Linked DNA regions of Canis lupus familiaris. The protein of the gene in region 1 binds, or shares a complex with, the protein of each later gene. Links are inferred from orthologs where the notes say so. Each region holds a gene or a part of one and is shown in the gene's direction. Other genes may lie near its edges.

The links.
Region 2: the proteins of EIF4A1 (region 1) and PDCD4 are in contact, whole or in part, in a crystal structure (PDB 2ZU6), measured with the Homo sapiens proteins. The link is inferred for Canis lupus familiaris from reciprocal best matches to the Homo sapiens genes EIF4A1 and PDCD4. Residues at the interface, in NP_001407.1 of Homo sapiens: Gln75, Thr109, Arg110, Glu111, Ile135, Gly137, Val140, Thr158, Gly160, Arg161, Asp164, Glu186, Leu188, Ser189, Arg190, Gly191, Phe192, Gln195, Ala214, Thr215, Met216, Pro217, Glu240, Leu241, Thr242, Asn280, Thr281, Arg282, Arg283, Thr329; in NP_055271.2 of Homo sapiens: Pro170, Gln173, Glu174, Glu177, His178, Glu183, Glu186, Met187, Asp190, Leu209, Glu210, Lys212, Glu249, Leu250, Leu252, Asp253, Thr254, Pro255, Arg256, Gly320, Gln321, Gln322, Ser323, Val324, Leu327, Glu348, Lys352, Glu355, Val356, Pro357.
Region 3: the proteins of EIF4A1 (region 1) and KANK1 are in contact, whole or in part, in a crystal structure (PDB 7DDX), measured with the Mus musculus proteins. The link is inferred for Canis lupus familiaris from reciprocal best matches to the Homo sapiens genes EIF4A1 and KANK1. Residues at the interface, in NP_659207.1 of Mus musculus: Lys99, Val140, Arg141, Val144, Gln145, Lys146, Leu147, Gln148, Met149, Glu150, Ala151, Arg168, Arg169, Tyr170, Ser172; in NP_852069.4 of Mus musculus: Gly1168, Asn1169, Asn1171, His1175, Tyr1176, Val1178, Asn1201, Lys1202, Ala1203, Tyr1205, Met1209, Leu1210, Leu1213, Ala1214, Ala1215, Gln1240, Ala1241, Leu1248, Ser1251, His1252, Arg1254, Asp1273, Glu1274, His1285.

The regions. Positions count from the first base shown.
Region 1 is NC_049226.1:32,703,957-32,711,516, forward strand, and holds the end of EIF4A1 (eukaryotic initiation factor 4A-I), read left to right. Parts: intron 1-346; coding exon 347-395; intron 396-802; coding exon 803-935; intron 936-967; exon of another isoform or gene 968-1,088; intron 1,089-1,311; coding exon 1,312-1,451; intron 1,452-1,763; exon of another isoform or gene 1,764-1,908; intron 1,909-2,722; coding exon 2,723-2,891; intron 2,892-2,998; exon of another isoform or gene 2,999-3,136; intron 3,137-3,230; coding exon 3,231-3,340; intron 3,341-3,568; coding exon 3,569-3,712; intron 3,713-3,793; coding exon 3,794-3,931; intron 3,932-4,028; coding exon 4,029-4,118; intron 4,119-4,155; exon of another isoform or gene 4,156-4,296; intron 4,297-4,365; coding exon 4,366-4,445; intron 4,446-4,543; coding exon 4,544-4,688; 3' UTR 4,689-5,196; downstream 5,197-7,560. Other genes in the region: CD68 (macrosialin), read left to right, coding at 5,825-5,873, 5,950-6,392, 6,538-6,657, 6,757-6,829, 6,943-7,113, 7,385-7,518. UniProt on the Homo sapiens protein: ATP-dependent RNA helicase which is a subunit of the eIF4F complex involved in cap recognition and is required for mRNA binding to ribosome.
Region 2 is NC_049249.1:22,441,470-22,448,898, forward strand, and holds part of PDCD4 (programmed cell death protein 4), read left to right. Parts: coding exon 1-187; intron 188-1,843; coding exon 1,844-1,941; intron 1,942-3,044; coding exon 3,045-3,159; intron 3,160-6,233; coding exon 6,234-6,341; intron 6,342-6,594; coding exon 6,595-6,705; intron 6,706-7,352; coding exon 7,353-7,429. UniProt on the Homo sapiens protein: Inhibits translation initiation and cap-dependent translation. May excert its function by hindering the interaction between EIF4A1 and EIF4G. Inhibits the helicase activity of EIF4A. Modulates the activation of JUN kinase.
Region 3 is NC_049222.1:90,275,970-90,283,398, forward strand, and holds part of KANK1 (KN motif and ankyrin repeat domain-containing protein 1), read left to right. Parts: intron 1-4,153; coding exon 4,154-4,348; intron 4,349-5,238; coding exon 5,239-5,347; intron 5,348-6,552; coding exon 6,553-6,798; intron 6,799-7,429.

The DNA.
Region 1 (7,560 bases):
GGGGAGGGCGCGGGCGGAGTGACGTGGGGGGAAGGGGATGTCCTCCCCTCGCAGCCGGGAGGCAAGGGGCGGGACTTCCGGCGCGCCGGGGCCGCGGGGGGAGGCGCACGCGCTCCGGCCGGCCCGGGACACGTGGGCGGGGGCGCGGACCCCCTCAGGGTCCCGGGGGGCGCGGCGGCGTTCCCTGTGGCCTGCGGGGGCCGGGGCCCGAGTCGGTGGAGGAGGAAGGGCTGTGTCCTCGGGGAGTGGAGGCTGATGGCACGGGCGGGACCGCTTGCTGGGGAGAGCCCGGCCGCGCGGATTTCTAACTCGTCTCAGTTGGTGTGCATCTGCTTTCCACCAACAGATCCAGAGACAATGGCCCCGATGGGATGGAGCCCGAAGGCGTCATCGAGGTGAGCCGGGAGCTTTGAGCCATTGTTCCCCCTCTCTGGAAAAGACGGTCTGTAGCAGCCTCCCCTGACCTCGGGAGGGGTGGTTCCTGTCCCCTAACAGGAACCTGTTCCTGTTTCCTCTCCCCAATTCTCATTCCTTTTCGATGATTGGTATAAAGTATCTACGTCCTGGGTTGTACGAACCAGGTTGCCGGAGGAGTCTGGTCTCCTCTCCTGCCCTGTTTAGCCTCTGGTTTCACAAGTGGACTGGCCCTCACTGATTGCCCAGGCCGGGTAGAGCCAGCTGGCTTCCCCAGAGGGAGGAGAGGTGCAGGGATCTGCAGCTCTGGGGCTGGTACCAAGGTGCCCTCTGTTCTGCGAGAACACAGACCCCCGTTTGACTACTGTGATTTTTCTCTGTCCTACAGAGTAACTGGAATGAGATTGTTGACAGCTTTGATGACATGAACCTCTCCGAGTCCCTTCTCCGTGGCATCTATGCTTATGGTTTCGAGAAGCCTTCTGCCATCCAGCAGCGAGCCATTCTTCCTTGTATCAAGGGTAAGCCTCCTGTCCCAGGACAGGTTCTGGGCTGTCCCTAAACTGGGTACAGTGGTATCTGGTTGGTGCCTGTCTCCTATCAGTCGGGGACCGAGCAACTCCTTGTTTATCCAGGCTTGGCTTTTGGTCTGTGTTCATGCCCTGGCCACATGCATGGCTGGTTTGATTTCTGCTGGTACCTGTTTCTGAGCTTTGTGCAGTACTGAATGAGTTAATGTTCTGTGTGGGCACTCTGTTGTCATGGGGTAAAGTCTGTGGAGCACGTCATGCTTGGCACATGGCTCCATCGGCTTCTTGTGGGTAAAGTAAAGCCTTGAACATCTCATGACTCTGAAATGTATGTATTCTCATGTCTTGTTTTTCTCGATCTATTTAGGTTATGATGTGATCGCTCAAGCCCAATCTGGGACTGGGAAAACAGCCACTTTTGCCATATCGATTCTGCAACAAATTGAATTGGATCTAAAGGCTACACAGGCCTTGGTCCTGGCACCCACTAGGGAGTTGGCTCAGCAGGTGAGTATGTAGGCTTTTTTGTTCCTCCCCTGAAGGACTGCTTTAGAAATGTGGTCCTTAAAAAAAGCATAGATGTGTGTTCCTCAGGACCACTATCTATTTAAGAACTGAATGGTTGGGGGGGTGGGGACTGTGTAAAGAAATAAGTTGAGGACTTCCGGATGTTTGAGAGCTTGTTAGGATTAATTACGAGGTCTTTCCTACCCAAACACAATAAGCATTATTTTCTCCACCCATTTCCTGAGTCAAATGAAAAGGTTGCAAGGTGGAGCCTGGCTGGCTGGGCAAGTTTGGTGGCTGTTTTATGAACAAACCCCCTGGCAATGGGCAAAGAGACACCTTGGTGGTGGTGGTGCTCTTATATCAGCCAGGGGCAAAGCAGACGGGCAGTCCTGTGTTCATCCTAGCTTGATGCCTGGATTGGTGGCCAGAGCTGTTTCATGCCTAGGGCACATAAAATTTTAATGAGACCTTTCTTGGGTCTTGGTGGAGAAAGGGTCAGAAATGCTAGTCTCATAAGTAGGATATTAGTTTTATGGTGAGTTTAGGATGATTCTATGCTTATCGGTGAATTGAGGTAAGGTACTGTAAGTGAAGAGTTCTGGAAGAATTCAGTAGGGCCTTAATGTATGTGCAGAACATGCTCTTTTAAAAAAAGCGAACGGGGATCCCTGGGTGGCGCAGCGGTTTGGCGCCTGCCTTTGGCCCAGGGCGCGATCCTGGAGACCCGGGATCGAATCCCACATCGGACTCCCGGTGCATGGAGCCTGCTTCTCGCTCTGCTTCTCTCTCTCTCTCTCTCTCTGTGACTATCATGAATAAATAAATAAAAAAAAAAATCTTAAAAAAATAAAAAATAAAAAAAATAAAAAAAGCGAACGTGTCACCTAGCACAGGTTCTGTGGCAGGAGTTCAGTAGGACACGGGTAGATGGCCTTCCATTCATAAAACTAGTTGGAGTGAGATCAAATCAATGGGTCGTCATGGCTTTTAGAAAGGGCTGTTAGTGTGAATCCTTGTATTCTTAGGAGCCAGACCAAGCTCAAATCCTGAGCCTGCCACTTACTGGCAGTGTGATCTTAAGTGAAGTATCTGCCTGTTTCTTGTCTGAAAAGTGAGTTTAATGGTGCACGTCTGAGTTGGAGAGAACACTAGAAGCATTTTATTTATTTATTTACTTACTTATTTTTTATTTTACTAGAAGCATCTTAAACGGGACCTGCCTTGATCATAGCTCATAATTGGGTACATTTTTTTTTTTCTGAGTCCAGATACAGAAGGTAGTCATGGCATTAGGAGATTACATGGGTGCTTCCTGCCATGCCTGCATTGGGGGGACCAATGTACGTGCTGAGGTGCAGAAGCTTCAGATGGAGGCTCCTCATATCATCGTGGGCACCCCGGGTCGTGTGTTTGACATGCTGAACCGGAGATACCTATGTGAGTCTGGCTGTCCTCTTTAACCCTCCCACTCGTGCCTTCCCCCCCCCCCCCCCCCCTTCGCAGTGTCCTCCTCTGACGGGCTAGCATGCACCTGGGAAAGAGTTGCTCTGTGATGAGCCCATGCGTGTCATCTGAGCCTGGCTTCCCCGTCCTCAGCCCCGGGGAGTGTTCTACTTCCCTGGCCTGTCAGCTGGCCTCGTGTGGGAGTCTTGGCAAAGGATCAGCCTTCGTATCCTGAGAGCAGATCTCTTGTTCCTTAGTGTTCTCGATCAGGAACTTGAAGTTTGGTTTCCTGGTTCCCTCACTACTGTCCATTGGGGTTTTCTCCTCTTGTAGCTCCCAAATATATCAAGATGTTTGTACTGGACGAAGCTGATGAGATGTTAAGCCGTGGATTCAAGGACCAGATCTATGACATATTCCAAAAGCTCAACAGCAACACCCAGGTGAGAAAGGGGTTCACAGACTCTAGTGGGCGGTCAAGGTTTCCTTTGTAGGTGGCTGTGTGGTGGGGGTCACAGCAGCAGCACATGCTGCAGGAGCCACAAAGAATCCGGGGGCCTCAAGCCTTTTCATGCCCTAGCTTCTGCATTAGGCGACAACTTACTTGCTTGCTAGGGGAGGGGGGGCCAGCCTGGAGGATCCCCTACCCCAAGGCTGCTCTTTCCCATTAGGTGGTTTTGCTGTCTGCCACGATGCCTTCTGACGTGCTTGAGGTGACCAAGAAGTTCATGAGGGACCCCATTCGGATTCTGGTCAAGAAAGAAGAGTTGACCCTCGAGGGCATCCGCCAGTTCTACATCAACGTGGAGCGAGAGGTGGGGCCCGGTGCAGGGGGGGGCTTGCCTGGCTGTACATCCCTGGGTAGAGCCCCTCACTGATCTCCTTCCCCCTCCCAGGAGTGGAAGCTGGACACGCTGTGTGACTTGTACGAGACTCTGACCATCACACAGGCAGTCATTTTCATCAACACCCGAAGGAAGGTGGATTGGCTCACCGAGAAGATGCACGCCCGAGACTTCACCGTGTCTGCCATGGTGCGTTCTCTCCCTTGTTCCCCGTAGTGCCCGTGTGCCTGGGCCTCCGAGCCTGTGCGCCTGTGACACGCGCCCTCCCCTCTGGTCCCCACTATAGCACGGAGACATGGACCAGAAGGAGCGAGATGTTATCATGAGGGAGTTCCGCTCGGGCTCTAGCAGAGTACTGATTACCACTGACTTGCTGGTGAGTAGGGAATGGAGAACCCTGGGAAGGAGGGAGGACCCAAGCTGATTCCCTCTCCAGGGGGCTTGCTTGTGCCCCCCTCAGGAAAGTAGCAACTTGGAATAAAATGTGACATGCCTCAGGGTGCTGGGAAGAGGGGCTGCTGTTTCCTTTGCCTTCCCTTTGGCTGCCTACACACACAGCGGTCCCTGCTACGCGCACTGGTCCCCCACCCTTCCTCCTGCTGACCTGTCCTCTCCCGACCCAGGCCAGAGGCATCGATGTGCAGCAGGTGTCTCTAGTCATCAACTATGACCTTCCTACCAACAGGGAAAACTATATCCACAGGTAAGTGCAGATCTAAAATGTTCCCTCCCCCAGCCCTGAGCTCAGGCTCTGTCCTGCCCCCATCCTGAGCCAGACTGAACCTGTCCTATTCTCACCAGAATCGGCCGTGGTGGACGATTTGGCCGGAAGGGTGTGGCTATTAACATGGTGACAGAAGAAGACAAGAGGACTCTTCGAGACATCGAGACTTTCTACAACACCTCCATTGAGGAAATGCCCCTCAATGTTGCTGACCTCATCTGAGGGGTGGTCCTGCTACCTAGCCTGACCCTGGCCTCAGTCTGGGGGGGGCAGAAGAGCAGGAGGGGGGAGGGAAGGGAGCCAAGGGATGGACATCTTGTCATTTTTTTCCTTTTTTTTTTCTTTGAATAAATGTCACTTTTTGAGGCAAAAGAAGGAACGTGAACATTTTAGACACCCTTTTCTTTGGGGCAGGCTCTTGCTCCAGGCGCCGTCTCTTCTCCCAAAAACACTAATCCATCTCCGTAACCTAGTCAACCTCCAAACCCCAGAGGCTCTCCCCCACCCCAGCTACGTGCCTCTTCAGAGGCTGCCAGGGGCCATAGTGTCACTCAACCTCATTTGCTGGACCAAATCTGGAGAATCCCAGAGTTAAATGGCCCAGAGGATTGTCCCCAGGTGGGGGGGAGCAGGGGAGAAAAAGTGGTAGCCATTTTTACATTGTTTTGTATAGTATTTATTGATTCAGAAAACAAACACAAAATTCTGAATAAAATGACTTGGAAACTGCCTGTTTGGGCTTCTCATTTCTTGCCTCCCCTTCCCTCCCACCTGTGTCCCAGGGCCTCCCTGGCTGGGGCCACCACTCCACCCCCAGTTCATAGTCCCTCAAGTTTCCCTTGGGTTTCCTTTTTTTGTTATCCTCTCCCTGCTGACCCGCTAGTGGGGTAGCATTTGTTGGCTAGTGACCCACTCTAAAGGCCAAGACGCAAGCACCATCATAAGTGCCTCACATGTTCTGTCAAGAGGAAGTGACAAATGGAAAAGAGGGAATAGAAACACTTAACCCCTAGAACTGGAGGACATAAGCAAGGGGTGGGGTGCTGTTCCCCGCTGGTTCTGTAACCCCTCCGGCCCACCAAACAGGCTGAAGTAGACAAGTAGGTCCGCAAGGACCAACTGTCCCCAAACTCCGCATCTACCTGTGATATTGAGGCTGGTGACCCATCCCCTCACTTGGTGACGGGTTCAATGACTAAGTGATTGGTGGCTGGGGCTGAGGTGCCTGAGTCAGGCTGGGGGTGGACTGGGCTGCCACAGGAAGTCAGACACTTAATTCCTCTTCCAAAAGAAGGCAGAGGCTACAGGCTGGTGTTGAACACACCGTCCCGCACCGACTGGGGTGAGGCCGATCGGTTATGAGGCCAGCCGTGTTTTTCTTGGGGGCCTTGGTGGGGCTGCTAGCAGGTAAGGGGGGGCCCGAGGGGAAGGGGCTCAGGGGGACACTGCCCCATTGCTAACCAACCCTCCCCTCTGCTCCAAGCCCAGGGGACCCGGAGCGACTGTCCCCATAAAAAGTCGGCCACCCTGCTGCCCTCCTTCACGGTGACCCCTACGGCTACAGAGAGCACAGGAAGCCCTGGGACCACCAGCCACAGCACCACCACCGCGGAGACCACCAGCCATGCGCCCAACACCACCACTCACCAGGCCCCGACAACCCCGGGGCACAGAAACACCACCATTCACCCAACCACGAGCAACAGCACAAGCAACACCACGGGCACCACGGGCACCGGCAAACCCCACACCTCCACCAGCTACACCCAGCCGGGGCCAGGGCCAAGGCCACCACCTCCCAGTCCCGGCCCTGGCCCCCAGGACGCCATAGGAGACTACACTTGGACTACGGGTTCCCAGCCCTGCGCCCGGCTCCAAGCCCGGATTCAGATCGGGGTTGTGTACCCAACCCAGGCCGGAGGCCAGGTAGAGCCACCCGTGGGGGCAGGGGTGAGGTCGCTCACCGCACTGCAGAAGGAAGAAGAGAGAAGGGGGCACGCAGGGAGGGGATGGAGGAAACAGGGAACCCCGGGCGGCTGCAGCCTTCAAAACCTCTTTTTAACCGCTACAGGCCTGGGGCATCTCGGTGCTGAACCCCAACAGTACCAAGCCCTGGGGGGACTGTGACGGGGCCCGCCCCCATCTGCTTCTCTCCTTCCCTTTCGGGCAGCTCAGCTTCGGGTTCACACAGGTACCTCCCCACCCCGGCCCCCTCGTGTCCCCCTATCCCCCCACCCTTTGCTGTGCTGGGGGCTCCGGCCACTCTCAGCCTTCCTGGTCGCCTTCGCAGGAGCCGCAGCAGGGTTCAGTCTACCTCGACTACCTGGCTCTGCAGTACAACGTGTCCTTTCCGCAGGCGGCGCGTGAGTCACCCGCCCTCGGGTCGCTTGCCCTGAATGTCCGGGCTCCTGAAAGGGGATCTAAATCGGGGTGGCGGGGACAAGGCTCCAGAGCTGACCCTTCCTCGCTCTTTCAGAGTGGACATTCTCAGGTCAGAACGCATCCCTCCGAGCTCTCCAAGCCCCCCTGGGCCAGAGCTTCAGCTGCAGAAATGCAAGCATCCTTCTTACGCCAGCTCTGCGCCTTGACCTGCTCCACCTGAAGCTGCAGGCTGCTCAGCTGCCCCCTTCAGGGGCCTTTGGGCCAAGTAAGAACTAGTCCTCCCTCCTAGAAGGCTCCCACTGCTCTGACGGCCACCCGCCTCCTTTATGAGATCTTGAACTTTCCTTTCTCTCTCAGCCTTGTAGCTTTAGGGCAACTGCCCTACTTCCTCAGCAGGACTCTGCCCTCTTTCCCTAGGAGCTTCGAGGGCACTCATCACTCTACTTCCCCATGTCCCCCCCACGCCTTCCTCCCATCCTCCTCCCACCTGTGCCCCACCACCACCCTGATGCCTGCCCGCCCTCCCTTTCTGCCAGGTTTCTCTTGTCCCAGCGAACACTTCAACCTGCTGCCCCTCATCGTCGGCGTGATCTCACTCGGCCTCCTCGCCCTGGCGCTGGTTACATTCTGCATTATCAGGAGACGCCCACCCACCTACCAGCCCCTCTGAGCATGTCCCCATCCTTGATACCAGTATCAAGCTTGGCGGGGG
Region 2 (7,429 bases), on another chromosome or scaffold:
GAGTGGGGTACCAGTGTTGGCAGTGTCCTTGGCATTGGAGGGAAAGGCTAGTCATAGAGAAATGACATCTAAGCTGCTTTCTGACCTTTGTGGGACAGTAATGAGCACAAATGATGTAGAAAAATCATTTGACAAATTATTGAAAGATCTACCTGAACTGGCATTGGATACTCCTAGAGCACCACAGGTTTGTATGGCTCTTCTTTTTATTCATTTTCTTCCCCACTACACTTCCAATTATAGAAATAATTCATGTTCCTAGGAAATTTTAGTAGATAAAGAGGACAAAATGACCTGTATTTTTTACCACACAAAAATAGCCCTCTGACATTTTAGTATATTTTTGTCTAGCTGTTTTTCTTTTCTTTTTCGTTTTCAAACACAGTTTTCATCATACTATAATTTTATATTTTGCTTTTCCACCCATGCTCTGTATAGTTTGTAGTTCATTGCTTTTGCTGTCTTTATATTCTCTATTATATGTGATTAAGCTATTGTATGAGCTAGGATTTCAAAAATATGTAGATTGTTCTAATTGAAGATTGAATTGGCTTGAGTGATGTTTACTATAAAAAGAATCATAAAAAAAAGAATCATAAATAAGTCTGTTCTCTTTTATAGCTTTGTGGGGAAATTAGAAAATTCATGATTTATGTTGCTGTTTAGATTCTGTCCTCAGAGCCTTATATTTTTATTAGATTTGATACATGCTGATACTATAATGTGACTTTCTGGTTTGACAATGAAAATGTGTGAAATTGCTGCTATTGACCAAAGTTTTAAATCAAGGTAGGAGTTTAATTTAGGAATAGAGTTATAGGTCAGTTAATTCTGTTTCTGTTATACTTTCCTATGACTGATGGTAGTCTGTGTAAGGTATTGAGCTATGATTCAGGTATGGACTTTTTTTTGCTTTTTATAGCAATACTCATATTAAAAACCTGATTACATAAATACATATTATAGAATTTTTGAAAAATAAAGTCAAAAGGAAGAAAGGCCAGCAAAAATAACCATTGTTAACTATTAACATTTTGGTGTTAAATCTGTTTTACTTTCTGTGGGTATGATTTTTCATGTATGATTTTTATATATCCTTGTATTTTTTGTTTTAAAAATGAAATTATACTGTATGTGCTATTTTATAAACTTCATTTTTCTTACACCATAAAATGCGGTAAATGTATTCCCTAATGACCACATAGTATACCATCTTATGTATCATTTAACCATACCCTTATTGTTGGACACTAGAGTCGTTTCTAATTTTTGTAAGCAATAATGCTATGAAAAGGAGTGCCTGGTTGGTTCAATCTGTGGAATAGGTGACTTTTGGTCTCAGGGTCATGAGCTCAAGTTTTACATTGGATGTGGAGCTGACTTTAACAACAACAAACATAAATAATTCTATGAATATACTTTTAGATAGAAACTTCTACACAAAGTTTTCTCCATACAATAAATTATTTTGATCAAAGAATTTTTGAGAAAACCTAGTCCTATGTTTTTGTTTGATTCTAGAAGAGAGTTTTCTCTTGAATTTAGGCCATTGGCTTAACAAATATTTTTGACTATACTATGTTTCAGGCAGGTATTGGGAAATTCAGTATTGAGCAAAACTGATGTATGTCTGCCCTATGGTACTTATCTTGAAGGTTAAGATGTGGGAGCATAAGCCAACCATAACTAGCAGGTGCTAAATTGATGTCTTTGAATGTTCCGACATGTCTTAGATATTGACTGTGTAATTCAGTCAGTCTTCATCATTGGTGTGTTTAGAAATTGTGTCCTGTAAAGGTTTATTTTAGGGTGTTTTATATAGCTTTTTTTTTTCTTATTGTAGTTGGTGGGCCAGTTTATTGCTAGAGCTGTTGGAGATGGAATTTTATGTAATACCTATATTGATAGTTACAAAGGAACTGTAGATTGTGTACAGGCTAGGTAAGTAAATTAATTTTCCTACTTAGAATTTCAAAAGGGGAAAATTCTACAGGATTTATTGAAATGATATTTGAATTAATCAGACATTGTAGACATCTGTCATTTGTGTGCATTCTCCACTGCTAAAATTGAGAGATTGTTGACATGATATTAACAGGAAGAAGATATATTATAATGTAGAAGTTTGGGATCTTAGCTAAACCATCAGCTACCTTTATGTCACACCTCTCTTCCCTGGGCCTCAGTTTCCTTATTTATAAAATGGAAGATTGCACTGAGAATATTTAAGGTCTGTTCAAGATTTTACGTTCTGTAATTATTTAATATTCTGATAAGATGGATAGTATTAACAAAGGAGCCCTATTTCCTATTTTATATTTATCTGCTACAGCAATATTAGGAAATAGTGTTTTTTCACTCTTGGTCTTTGGTATAATTTAAGCTAAATGTAATATTTGGGAGTCATCTGTATGATTTTTAGAATTTTCTAGAAACATAGATTTGGTCCTAGCCATGTATTAGATCTTAGGTATAGATCTTAACTTAATTTTTTAGGACTACGCAGATCAGAGTACAATGATTGCCCTGGTGGGAAGGCGTAGATCTATGTAAAAGTTAAGTTTTATGCAAAATGTTTTTTCTTAGTATAATTATTTTGTAATAAGTTTAGTTTTTTATGACTGAGAAATAAAAATGAGTATGAGAATAATGAAAAAAGTAACTTTTTTTTTTTTTGCTCCCAACTTTTTATTTTAAAAAGTTGCTTTTTAAAAGACTTTTGAGTTTTAGGTTGCTTTCATGTTACATGAAAACTTTTAGGGATGCCTGGGTGGCTCAGCGGTTGAGCATCTGCCTTTGGCTCAGGGTGTGATCCTAGGGTCCAGGTTCAAGTCCCACATCAGGCTCCTTGAAGGGAGCCTGCTTCTCCCTCTGCCTATGTCTCTGCTTCTCTCTCTGTGTCTCTCATGAATAAATAAATAAAATCTTAAAAAAAAACAAAAACAAAACTTTTAAATCAGCCTCAAACATGTCCAAGTTGTCACAGATATTTGTTGTTATTGTGTGTGTGTGTGTGTGGTTTTTTTTTTTTTTTTTTTTGATAGAGCTGCTCTGGACAAGGCTACTGTGCTCCTGAGTATGTCTAAAGGTGGAAAGCGCAAAGACAGCGTGTGGGGTTCTGGAGGTGGACAGCAGTCTGTTAATCATCTTGTTAAAGAGGTAACTACTGGGTATTGTCTTTAACTTAATTTACATGTATTTCTTTAGATAAGTAAACTATGCCCTCTAGCTGGCATTTTTGCAGAGAAAAATTAAGTTCAGGCTTAAAGCTACTGATGGAAAATTGGATAACCTTCATATATTTGGCTTTATATCCTGGTGCTATAAATTATACAATAATTATATAATTGTTATTAAATTTTTATGGTTTCTGACTTAAAAGTAAGACTAAGTTAAAAGGGCTTTCAAAGGAGGGCTGTATTTGAACCTCAAAGGAATGCCTGAAATCCTTTTTATATTGATATTTAAAATTTTTCAGATACTGTCAAAATAAGACTTCCTAAGTTATTCAATAAAGAACTATATTTTTATATATGAATAGTTTGAAACTGGATACTCTTAGATCATAAGTGATGAATTATGAACACTAGGGTAGATCAGAGTAGTAAATTTTTGTAAGGAAATTCACTACTTGTATGCATGCTTTAAAAGTAAAAATTATTTATTGCATTAAAATGCAAGATTTATTATCTATGGATTTTTTTTCTGGCAATAAAGTAATATTCTGTAACAGGAAACGAGAAAAAGTATTTAATCTTTTTGCAGATTGTTAAGAAAATTAGAAGATTTATAGCTCATGTGCTTCTGATTTTTTAGTATAATCTTTTCATGTGACTAGAGTTTTGATATTTAATCTTTTAATGATATGCGTTTCTAGTTTGGGGGTTAAGGAGCTGAAAGTACAGATTTTTGACCAGTTTGCTTTTCTATATCTTAAGGTAGATAAGCTGGTGTTTGTAATATCATGATCACAATATTTGCTTTTAAAAAATTTTTCAAGTTGTTAGGAAGATTGAGGTATAAACACAGTCAAGATATCAGCAGTTTGTCAAAATTACATAAAAGGCATCTAGATGGGAAAGGAAGAAGTAAAACTATTTGTTCTGAGATGACATGATCTGTATACAGAAAATCTGAATCTACAAAAAAAAAAAAAAATGAAAACAACCAAACTGTCAACAAAATAAATGAATTCAAGGTTGTAGAATATAAGATCAGTATACAATATTCAGTTCTAGTTCTGTACACTAGCAATGAATGATATGAAGTGAAATTAAGAAACAGTTGCTTTTACAATAGAATAAAAAGAATACTAAAATGCTTAAGAATAAATTTAACAAAAGCAGTGCAGTTCTTGTACACAAAAACTGCAAAACATTGTTGAAATGAATTACACCTAAATAAGTAGAAAGATATCCAAATATCCTGTGTTTATGGATTGGAAGACATAATATCGTTAAGATCATAATGGTCAGAGCACCTGGCTTTCTCAGGTGGAGGAGCTTGTGACTCTTGCTCTCAGGGTTATGAGTTTGAGCCCCATACTGGGTGTAGAGATTACTAAGAAAAAAAAAAACTTAAAAAAAAAAAAAAGATGGCAGTACTCCCCTAAAATTAGTATTTTGAGAGACTGCCAAACTATTTTATGTGAATTATCTCAACCAAAAAATAGTCAAGATAAAAGTTGAAATAAAACTACCAATAAAGGAGTGTGAGGTTGACATGATCTGGATTGTCATTTATTTTTACATGGGAGGATAGTTGGACCAAGAGGACTTTTAGAAATGTATACATGTTTTTATAATTTATCATTCTAGGGCACGTGGGTGGCTCAGTGGTTGAGCATCTGCTTTTGGCTCAGGGCATCCTGGGATCGAGTCCTACATCAGGTTCCCCATAGGGAGCCTGCTTCTCCCTCTGCCTGGGTTTCTCCCTCTCTCTCTGTGTCTCTCATGAATAAATAAATAAAATATTAAAAAAATAATTATTCTAGAAAAATGCATGGAACCCGATAGGAAACATTTAAATACTTTAAGTTGCATAACAAAGTTATAAAACTATAATAAGTAATATAATTTAAATAATAAATGTATTACCTTATAATTATAAAATAAAAACACTTTAGTCAAATGCCATGCTTTAAATATTTACTTTCCTAAAGCAGGATAATAGGAATTATTAGGATGTTTTCTATTGATCAAATTTTATTTTACCTTTCATGAAAATACATCGCAGGAGTTGAAGTCAAAGAGACTTAAATGAGATTATTTAACAGCCTGCATTCATTGAGCATGTACTGGGTGCAGAGGTGATTTTAACAGGCAGTTAAAACTATAGGGAAGAACATTCTGATTGAAGTGCTTGTGCTGGAAAACTTTTTCACCTTTTCTCTGGAGTCATAGAGGTTATTGTGTTTGAACAAGAAAGTCAAGTCTTGCCTCTTTAGCTACAACTAGAAGCAGAATTGCTGATGAACATCTTAGATAATGGGTTTCAAATCCTTAGCTGTAGAGAAGAGAAAGTATATAAACATTTTCCTCTGTATAGTAAAGCTCTATTATCATCACTCATTTTTTGGCTGCTAGTGCACTGTTTAAGGTCATCCTGATGGAAGTGAAAGTTTGTGACACTTTATTAAAAATATATTTTGAGACTTTCAGTCAGTGCCCTCTAGTGGTCTTTAAAATCCCTTGTTTTATAGTGAGCACTGAAGTACTATGGTTACAGCGCAAGCCACGTACATCTAAAGACTACTAGATCTCAGTGATCATTAAGACACACTGAAGCACTGTATTCTCTTTATAATTATGAACCACTTAAAAATTGGAGGTTTACTTTTTAATTATGAAAAAAACTTGTAATAGTGTCAAGTCTCTATGTTCTTACACAGCTGTTTGTAATCTGCTTTGAGAGTAAATAAATCATATAGGCAAAAAGCAGTTCTTTTTGGTAAAAATTAGGAATTTTAGGGGTGCCTTGGTTACTTAGTTGGTTGAGCATCAGAATTTTGGTTTTGATTCAGGTCCTGGTCTGGCATTTGTGGGATGGAGCCCCACCACAGGTTCTGTGCTGGGTGTGGAGTTTGCTTCAGATTCTTTCTCCCTCTGGCCTTTGCCCCTCTGTGCCACATGTGCATGGGCACGTTCACACTCTCTCTCTAAAAAAATGAATGAATAAAATCTTTAAAAAATAAAAATTAAGAATTCTAACATTTCAATTTTTAAATTTGATAGATTGATATGCTGCTGAAAGAGTATTTACTCTCTGGAGACATATCTGAAGCTGAACATTGCCTTAAGGAATTGGAAGTACCTCATTTTCACCATGAGCTTGTATATGAAGTAAGATTACTGTGACATTCCAAAGAGAATTATTAAGTGTTCCTTTTTGAACCATCATGACTGAATGCTTCTTTAGGAGTATATGTCTTTTTTTTTTTTTCCTTTTTTAAAAAATTTAATGTTCAGGGAGTAAGTTTTTAAAAAAATTTTTGTAATGATTAAAATTACATATCAGACAAAAGTGATCTGATACATTTTAGGAGCAGTTTCTTACATGAATTAATGACCAAACATTTGTTCATTCAATTTTTAGGCCATTGTAATGGTTTTAGAGTCAACTGGAGAAAGTACATTTAAGATGATTTTGGATTTATTAAAATCTCTTTGGAAATCTTCTACCATTACTCTAGACCAAATGAAAAGAGTAAGTATAACATTTTGAATACTTTTTAGACTTACACCTTAAATGTCAAGTGTTTGAATAAAGATTATGAGTTGTCAATGAAATGTTCTTTTAGGTATGTTTAATAGTACTGTTTCTATAGTGTTGTTTTTTTTGTTTTTAGTGGTTGTGGTTATTTGACCTCTTGTAGCCATTTCTTGGAACGTAACACTTTATTGGGTTTTTTAACTTTTTTTTTTTTTCTTTTTTTTTTAAGATGTGATTGTTCTTCCTCAGGAGTTCTGCTTTTAAGTTTTATGATAGTTTCTATTTTATATCTGGCAACAAACATGAACATGATCTTTTAACAAATATACTTTAAAGCATTTAATTTATTCATATTGGTGAGATTCTTGTCTTACATTTTTAAAAAGTGTGGTAAGTGTATATAGAGAAGTAGATAGTGAAGAAATATGTCCAATGTCTGAAATCTACCTAAACTCTTTTGAGAGAACAGTTTTAAAGAAAATATACATACTGTCTATTTTTCAAGGATCAGATCTGGATTAGATCAGTCTAATTTTATGGACATTTAAGGCCTTAACTGTAGCTTGATGACAATGATGGGTTGTATGGCATTATGTGTTTCGTCTGGGCTAACAATTCTGTATATAATTTTATTGTTTTAGGGTTATGAGAGAATTTACAATGAAATTCCGGACATTAATCTGGATGTCCCACATTCATACTCTGTGCTTGAGCGATT
Region 3 (7,429 bases), on another chromosome or scaffold:
TCCCTGAGGGGAGCCCAATGTGGGACTCTATCCCAGGGCTCCAGGATCACGCCCTGAGCTGAAGGCAGGCACTTAACTGCTGAGCCACCCAGGTGTCCCAAATGTTCCGTATCTTAATGAGGAGGGTGCTTACATAGGTATATGCATTTACCAAAACTCATCAATTCCACAGTTGTGCATTTTCTTGTATATAAATTATACCTCAACTTATAAATATCTTGTGAAAGCTGTATTTAAATTTTAAAAAGAGGGTTGCGTAGGCAGCTTAGTCGGTTAAGTAAGCATCTGCCTTCCACTCAGGTCATGATCTCAGGGGTCCTGGGATCAAGCCCCACATCGGGCTCCCTGCTCAGCGAGGAGTCTGCTTCTCCCTCTCCCTCTGCCTCTATCCCTGTTTATGCTCTCTCAAGCTCACTCTTTCTCAAATAAATAAAATCTTTTTAACAAATTTTAAAAAGGAAAAGAAAAAAGAGAAATCTATAGATCCAAAAGCTTAAAACCCAGAGCAACCAGTGGAAATTTGTGACAAGGATCCCGATTCTGATATCTGACAAAAGTTTTTTCTGAGACCTTGGAGAAATTTGAATACTGACCAAATATGCAGTAATCTTTAAAAAAAATTAGGATTTTTTTTTGCACTATAATTATTTTTTAAGAGCTCTTTGAGAAATACATGCTAAAATAATTATGGACGGAGCCATTGCCCTCTAGTTCTTGTTCACAGCACTCCCGTGTGAGTGGGTGGAGGGGGCTGGCTGGGGCCAGGGAGAGTGCTGATGGCTGTTGAAGCCCATGATGGGCACGCGGGGATTCGTTATACTGGTGTCTGCTTTTGTACGTCTCTGGTTTCAAAAATAATAAAAAAAACTGTTGGTGTATTTGCATTTTAAAAGTCCTCGCTGGTTTTGAATAGGAACGTGCTCAGCAAGAGTGTCTCTCCAGGAAAAGTGTGCTGGTACGTGGGGATTTGTACTGCTGAGCCCTTGGGGAGGTAACTTTGCCACATTGATGAGTGGGGCTGGAGAACGGAGGAACAGAGGCAGATGCTCTGCTTTGTTTACTTTGCTCAGAGTAAGTCATAGGGAGTCTCAGAGGTTTGTTTTTGCTGTTGGGGGAGCACATCAGGTCACAGGAGCACTAAATATTATCTGGAGGGCTCCATTCAGTGTTGCAGGTGTGTGCCGAGGAGGGAGGTGGATTTGTGGGGTCACCTGGGAGGCCCCTTGCCTACAGAGCTGGACAAGGCCACTTGTGCTACTGATTCTCAGACACAATACCCGCTCACATATTAGGAAATGTGGGTTCTGGTCTAGCTGCGAAGTTCAGAATTCTTAGCTTGGATATATGAATTAAAATTCAGGTGATCTCAGGTCACCTGGGTGGCTCAGTGGTTGAGCATCTGCCTTCGGCTCAGGGTGTGATCCCCGGGTCCTGGGATCAAGTCCCCAATCGGACTCCCCAAAGGGAACCTGCTTCTCCCTCTGCCTATATTTCTGTCTCTCCTTCTGTGTCTCTTGTGAATAAATGAATAAAATCTTTTTTAAAAACATGGGCAGCCTGGGTGGCTCGGCAGTTTGGCGCCGCCCTCGGCCCAGGTTGTGATCCTGGAGACCTGGGATCGAGTCCCAAGTCAGGCTCCCTGCATGGAGCCTGCTTCCCTCTGCCTGTGTCTCTGCCTCTCTCTTGCTCTGTGTCTCTCATGAATAAATAAATAAAATCTTAAAAAAAAACAATTTAGGTGATTTCTAATGTCTTACTATGAACAGTTTTGCCTCCCTCCACATTTTTTTTAAATCAGAGGGTCATTGTACTTTCCATAGTGGGCCGCGTGCATCAGAGTCTCTTGTGGACAGGTCGGTGGGGATGTCAGAAACGCCCACCCCTGGGGGCTCATCAGAGATGTACAGAATTGTCTTATGGCAGCAGGTGCTTAGGAATCTGCATTTTAGCAAATATCCCAGCCCATTCATAACAGTAGAGTGTGAAGAGAACTGTTGTAGAATCTATGGTGGTTCCTTTTTTCCTAATTGCCTCAAAATACAATCAGTATTTAAATTTCTTTTCTTCTGAGGAGGTAAGCAATTTCAGAGCATTAAAAAGAGTTATGATCATATTCTTATATGACATTGTGGGTAGGTTTAAATTTATTTGTATTAATAACATATTTATAATGCATACTTTAGGAAATCAACACAAGAAAAAAATTGTAACAATCTAGAATTCTTTAGCCTTAGAAAAGCATAAACAGGTTTGCTGTGTGTCCTTCCAGACTTTTTCTAATATATATACATGTAAATAGAATTTCGCCAAAATAGGTTTATTTGCCCCAAGCAATTTAATAACCTGTTTTTAAAACTCACACATTATGCTTTTCTTTCTGTGCTAAAAATGTCCACCTACATCAAAATTTTTCTTGGCTGCATAGAATTTATTTATATAAATGTGCCAGAGCTTATTTCACCAGTTTCTTGTTGACATTCTGTGATATCTCCCTCTTTCCACTGTTTTACTCATGGAGACAATGAAAATCCTTTTGTATCTTTTTGTACGTCTTTAGGATAAAATTCCTAGAAGCAAATTGCTAGTCAAAGGATTTTCTTAGTTTTTAAAATGATTTTGAACACAGTTATTATTTGCTCTAAAAAAAAAATGTCGGGACACCTGGGTGGCTCATTGGTTGAGCATCTGCCTTTGGCTCAGGTCAAGATCTTGGGGTCCTGGGATCAAGTTCTGCACAGGCTCCCCACGGGGAGCCTGCTTCTCCCTCTGCATATGTCTCTGCCTCTCTCTGTGTGTCTCTTATGAATAAATAATAAAAAATGTCAAATACAGGGACAAGTTAAAATCTCCATAGCTTCCAGATAACTTTTTTATATTTTTTAATAGGATCACTTATGTAGAATCTTATTACCTGCTTTTCTCATGCCATACATTGTAAAAATCTTTCCGTGTCAGCCACATTGGAAATATCGTGATATTCTTATGACATTAATTATATGCACTTAACTAATCTGATTCTTCTGCTTTAGTCAGGGAACAAGTACTAAGTACCCAAAATACACAAAAGCCTTCTAGTAGCTGTGAGAAGAGAAAGTTGATTCGAATGGTTTCGTGCCCTCACAATCCTTACAGACAGAAGGGCGTCTCAGGCAGTCCCATGAGTCCTCTAGCACTTTGTCTTCCAGATCCTCTAAGAGGGTCTGAGAGCTGGCCTGGGAGAGGCAGGGGAAGGAAAGCCATTTTTAGTTAGGTTGGGGAAGGCTCAGAAGAGAGGGTGATGGAGGGCTTGACCCCACGAAGGTGGGGAGCAAGAAGTGTTCCCAGTAGAGCAGCAAACCCTGAGACGTGCTGTCAGGAAGATGAAAGACCCCCACCCTCAGCATCCCATTCCTGGGGAGAAAGGCAGTCCTGCCCACCAAGGGGACCCCAGGTGTAGTGGGAAATAAAGGTGGAGAGGTAACGAGATGAGCCAGCTTGTGGATGGTCCAGAATATGTGGCCAAGTAGTGTGGGTGGCGTTTCCTGAGCAGAAAGCAATGTTTTTCAGCTTTGCACAAGTCTGTTGGAGCTGGATTGCACTGGGATTTGTGGGGCTGGGGTATCACTCTGCAGCTGTGTGTTTGAGAGGCTGTGGTAGAAGAAGAGGGCCATCAGGATCCCGCGCTGAGGGTCCTCCCCGGGCTGGGCGGGGGCACCAGGCGCAGAGAGAAGAGAGGGAGTGGACGGACAGGCCTGGGCAGACCCGGATGTGGAGACAAAGGGAAGGGTAAGGGTCAGGAAGGCCTTGGGGTGGGGTTTGGGTGGCTTCCATAGGACTGCCCTATATGCAAAAAAGAAAACAGGGAGAGGGCACCTGGCTGGCTCAGTGGTTGAGCATCTCCCTTAGGCTCAGGTCATGATCCTGGGGTCCTGGGTTCAAATCCTGCATCGGGTTCCCCGAGGGGAGCCTGCTTCTCCCTCTGCCTGTGTGTCTGCCTCTCTCCGTGTGTGTCTCTCATGAATAAATAAATAAAATCTTAAAAATAAATTTAAAAAAAGAAAACAGAGAAAGGCACTTGAGAAAATGAGGAGTTGCAAAAATATTTTTTAAAAATTTGTTTAGCCCGTTTTGTTTGGCCCTCCGTCACATGCTTCTGCACCTTCCTTCCTGACAGGAAGTTTGGAACACACCTGTAGGTGCGGAGGCCTTCCGGCAGGAGCTCCATTCAGCAGTCAGGCGTCGCGGCACGAGCAGGCGGTGGGGCCCACGGAAGGGAGACCCCCGGGCGGCCAGGACGCCTTCCCCCCTCAGGAGAGCACGCTGTCCCCCGTGAACCTGACGGACGACCAGATCGCCGCCGGCCTCTATGGTAACTTCCCCCCTCAGCCCTTCTCGGCTAGGGGATCCCGGGACCGGCGCTGCAGTCCATGGCCGAGTGCCTCATAGATGGACCTGGAAGAGCCATTAACCTGAGAAGTGTTAGAAAGGTTGGCTTAGAATATCTTTTAAAAAGATGGCTACAGAGGGGAGTGGGCCGTCCCCTGAAGTAAACTCCTCAGATTTTGTAAGTTGTGAAATATTTTATTTTATTTTTTTAATTTTTATTTATTTATGATAGTCACAGAGAGAGAGAGAGAGAGAGAGAGAGGCAGAGACATAGGCAGAGGGAGAAGCAGGCTCCATGCACCGGGAGCCCGACGTGGGATTCGATCCTGGGTCTCCAGGATCGCGCCCTGGGCCAAAGGCAGGCGCTAAACCGCTGCGCCACCCAGGGATCCCTTTTTTTTTTTTTTTTTTTTTTTTTTAAAAAGTTGTGAAATATTTTAAATAGCATTTCACTCCTTCGCTGTCTGGCAGGCATAATTTTTCCCCAGATTATCTCAGCTGGAGGAAAAGAACAATTACAATCCCTATTTTTGTGCCTTCGTGGTTTTTGAGGCCTCAGTGAGATACGACTTCACTTTAAAAACAGTGGAGCCTGATTTAAACACTAGTTGTCACTGCTTTTGTTCTGTCTAGAAGTACTAATGGGGGGGGGAGTTTCCCATTTAAAGAACTGCAGATTATTTTCTTTACACGCATACATCTTTCCAGTGGATTCTGGGCACATTTCTCATATGCACGTGCCACGATCTATCCTAGATTTACGTGAATGAGAGAAAAAAAAATGAATGTGAGGAAAAAAAGATTTCTTGCTCCCTTAACTTGGATGGGTGTGAATTGTGTTCATTTTGCTCCGCTTGATTCCCCTTTTCGCAGTATGTACAAATAGTGAAAACACACTCAAGTCTATCATGAAGAAGAAGGATGGCAACCGAGATTCAAATGGAGCGAAGAAGAATCTCCAGTTTGTCGGCATTAATGGAGGGTAAGGAAAGATGGCCCACCAGCGGTCTGTATGTGCTCTGTCTGTCTCCTGGGCCTCCTGTCTTCTCACGTCCCACTCAGAGGGGCCCGGGATGGGCTGCAGCCACATCTTGGTGACGGATGAGCCCCTCAGAAAGGTGCACTGGGCTTCTCTCTTCTCCTCTCCATGCTGTCTCTAAGGATATGCCACTCTCGAAAGGACACCTGGTGACGCTGAGCGGTTGGCATCTTCCCGCCTCTGGTCTGAAAATGGTAGTCTTCAACAAAAGCCGCAGGCAGCAGGTGTCCTGCGGTGTTGGACAGCTTGGTCTTACCCGTGTCAGACTCAGAAACCAACAGAAAGAGGCGAGAGCATCTCTCCACGGGCCGGTGACGGGCATCCACTCCTTCAAAATGGGTTCTTTGGCTTCGCTCTCCATGCCTACGTACAAAATTGTAGGTCCTGTCCCCTGACCCATAATCTGGCTGTGCCGTCAGTGGTTTACCTTCTAACCAGAATGTTTGATTGGCTGTCTATTCCTTCTCATTGGGCCACATAAATAGTTAAGCCTGTTTGCCCTCCTGCAGTTGAATCAGAGCAGCTAATCTGTTAATCTGGACACGGCCTCGGCCTCGACACGAAAGCAGTGATGCAGTTAGTTGAGATAACGTTGATAGCAAAGCGTACGATTGACATTTAACTTCATGGGGCCTATTTTCTGAATCTTTGAAGCTTAATTGGGTAGCGTGGCCCAGGAGGTTTGCGGGGAGCGGGACATGTACCAGAGGAACTCTTGATTACTTATGTAATCTGTTCACTGGTAATCTGTTCATCATGACACTGGGACGATTAATGGAGCAAAATAGGAAGAATGTAAGGGGAAAAAAAAAAAGGAACAGAAAAAATGAACCACTGCAGACTTGGCTTTCGTGAAGTAAGTTTCCTTTGACCTGCACTAAGCCAGACATGCTATATATATGTATTTCTTTTTTCCTGCAAGTAGTATAACGATACCAATTGGCAACACATGTTACCCCTTTCAGGTCAGAACCCATTCAAAGCCACCATATTTTTAAATAGACCTTCCTTTGAACTTCTAAATGCAGAGTCTAAAGCCACCGGTCAAATGTCTGGAGTCTGTTAGCGGCTTTCCCTGCGTAAGAATTTCTGTCCCGGGGTCTTTCTGGGCGCACCTTGCATCTCCTGAACTCCCAATTGCCACCTAGGTATGAGACAACTTCAAGTGATGATTCCAGCTCGGATGAAAGCTCTTCCTCCGAGTCAGATGACGAGTGTGATGTCATTGAGTTTCCTCCTGAGGAAGAGGAGGAGGAAGAGGAGGAGGAGGAAGACACCCGGGGAGTGGCAGAAGGGCAGCATGCAGTTAATATGGAAGGTTTCAAGTCCGCCGGGGCGGAAGATGAGATGCAGGTTCCAGAATGTGAACCTGAGAAGGTGGAAATCAGAGAGAGGTGTGGTACCCTCCCCTTCCCTCCCTAACCCTTCCCACTTTTCAATGTCCTTTGGCGAGAGAATTAGCCGATTCGGAGATTTTGCAGCTGTAACTACAGGTTGGGTCTCTCCCATCCCCAAAGGAGGGTACGTACGCAGAGGCACGACTGTCGTGTCGTGATGCTGATAAATACAGGTGCAGAGGGAGGTAACTCTGAGATTTCCCAAAGAGAAGGGCCTAATCAAGCTGTCACCTTTGTTGCCTTTACATTTGTGTGTTAGCTCATTTTAACGTGCAGAGCCACCGCCCACAGAACTGTCCTGTGCCACGATGGTCTCCAGTGTTTGAACAATCCCGCTTAGACTTGAAGGCATGTTAGAATATTGTGTGGCCGGCGCATTTCTTTCGGGTTTCAGATTTTATCATCAGCCATTTGTCTCGATACAGATGTCATTACTGTTACGATGGGATCGCTGTGTGTGAGAGGAGCGCATTTTTTGGCCTCAGCCAAAGATCACATTCACTGCAGACATGATATAATCAGTCACATGTCTGCATCTTGTGGCTCCTTGAGTGAAAGGGAACACCCCAAGAATGGGTTCGGGAGTCTCCTAAACAAGCAGCTGAGATACCAAATAAACACTCTGGTT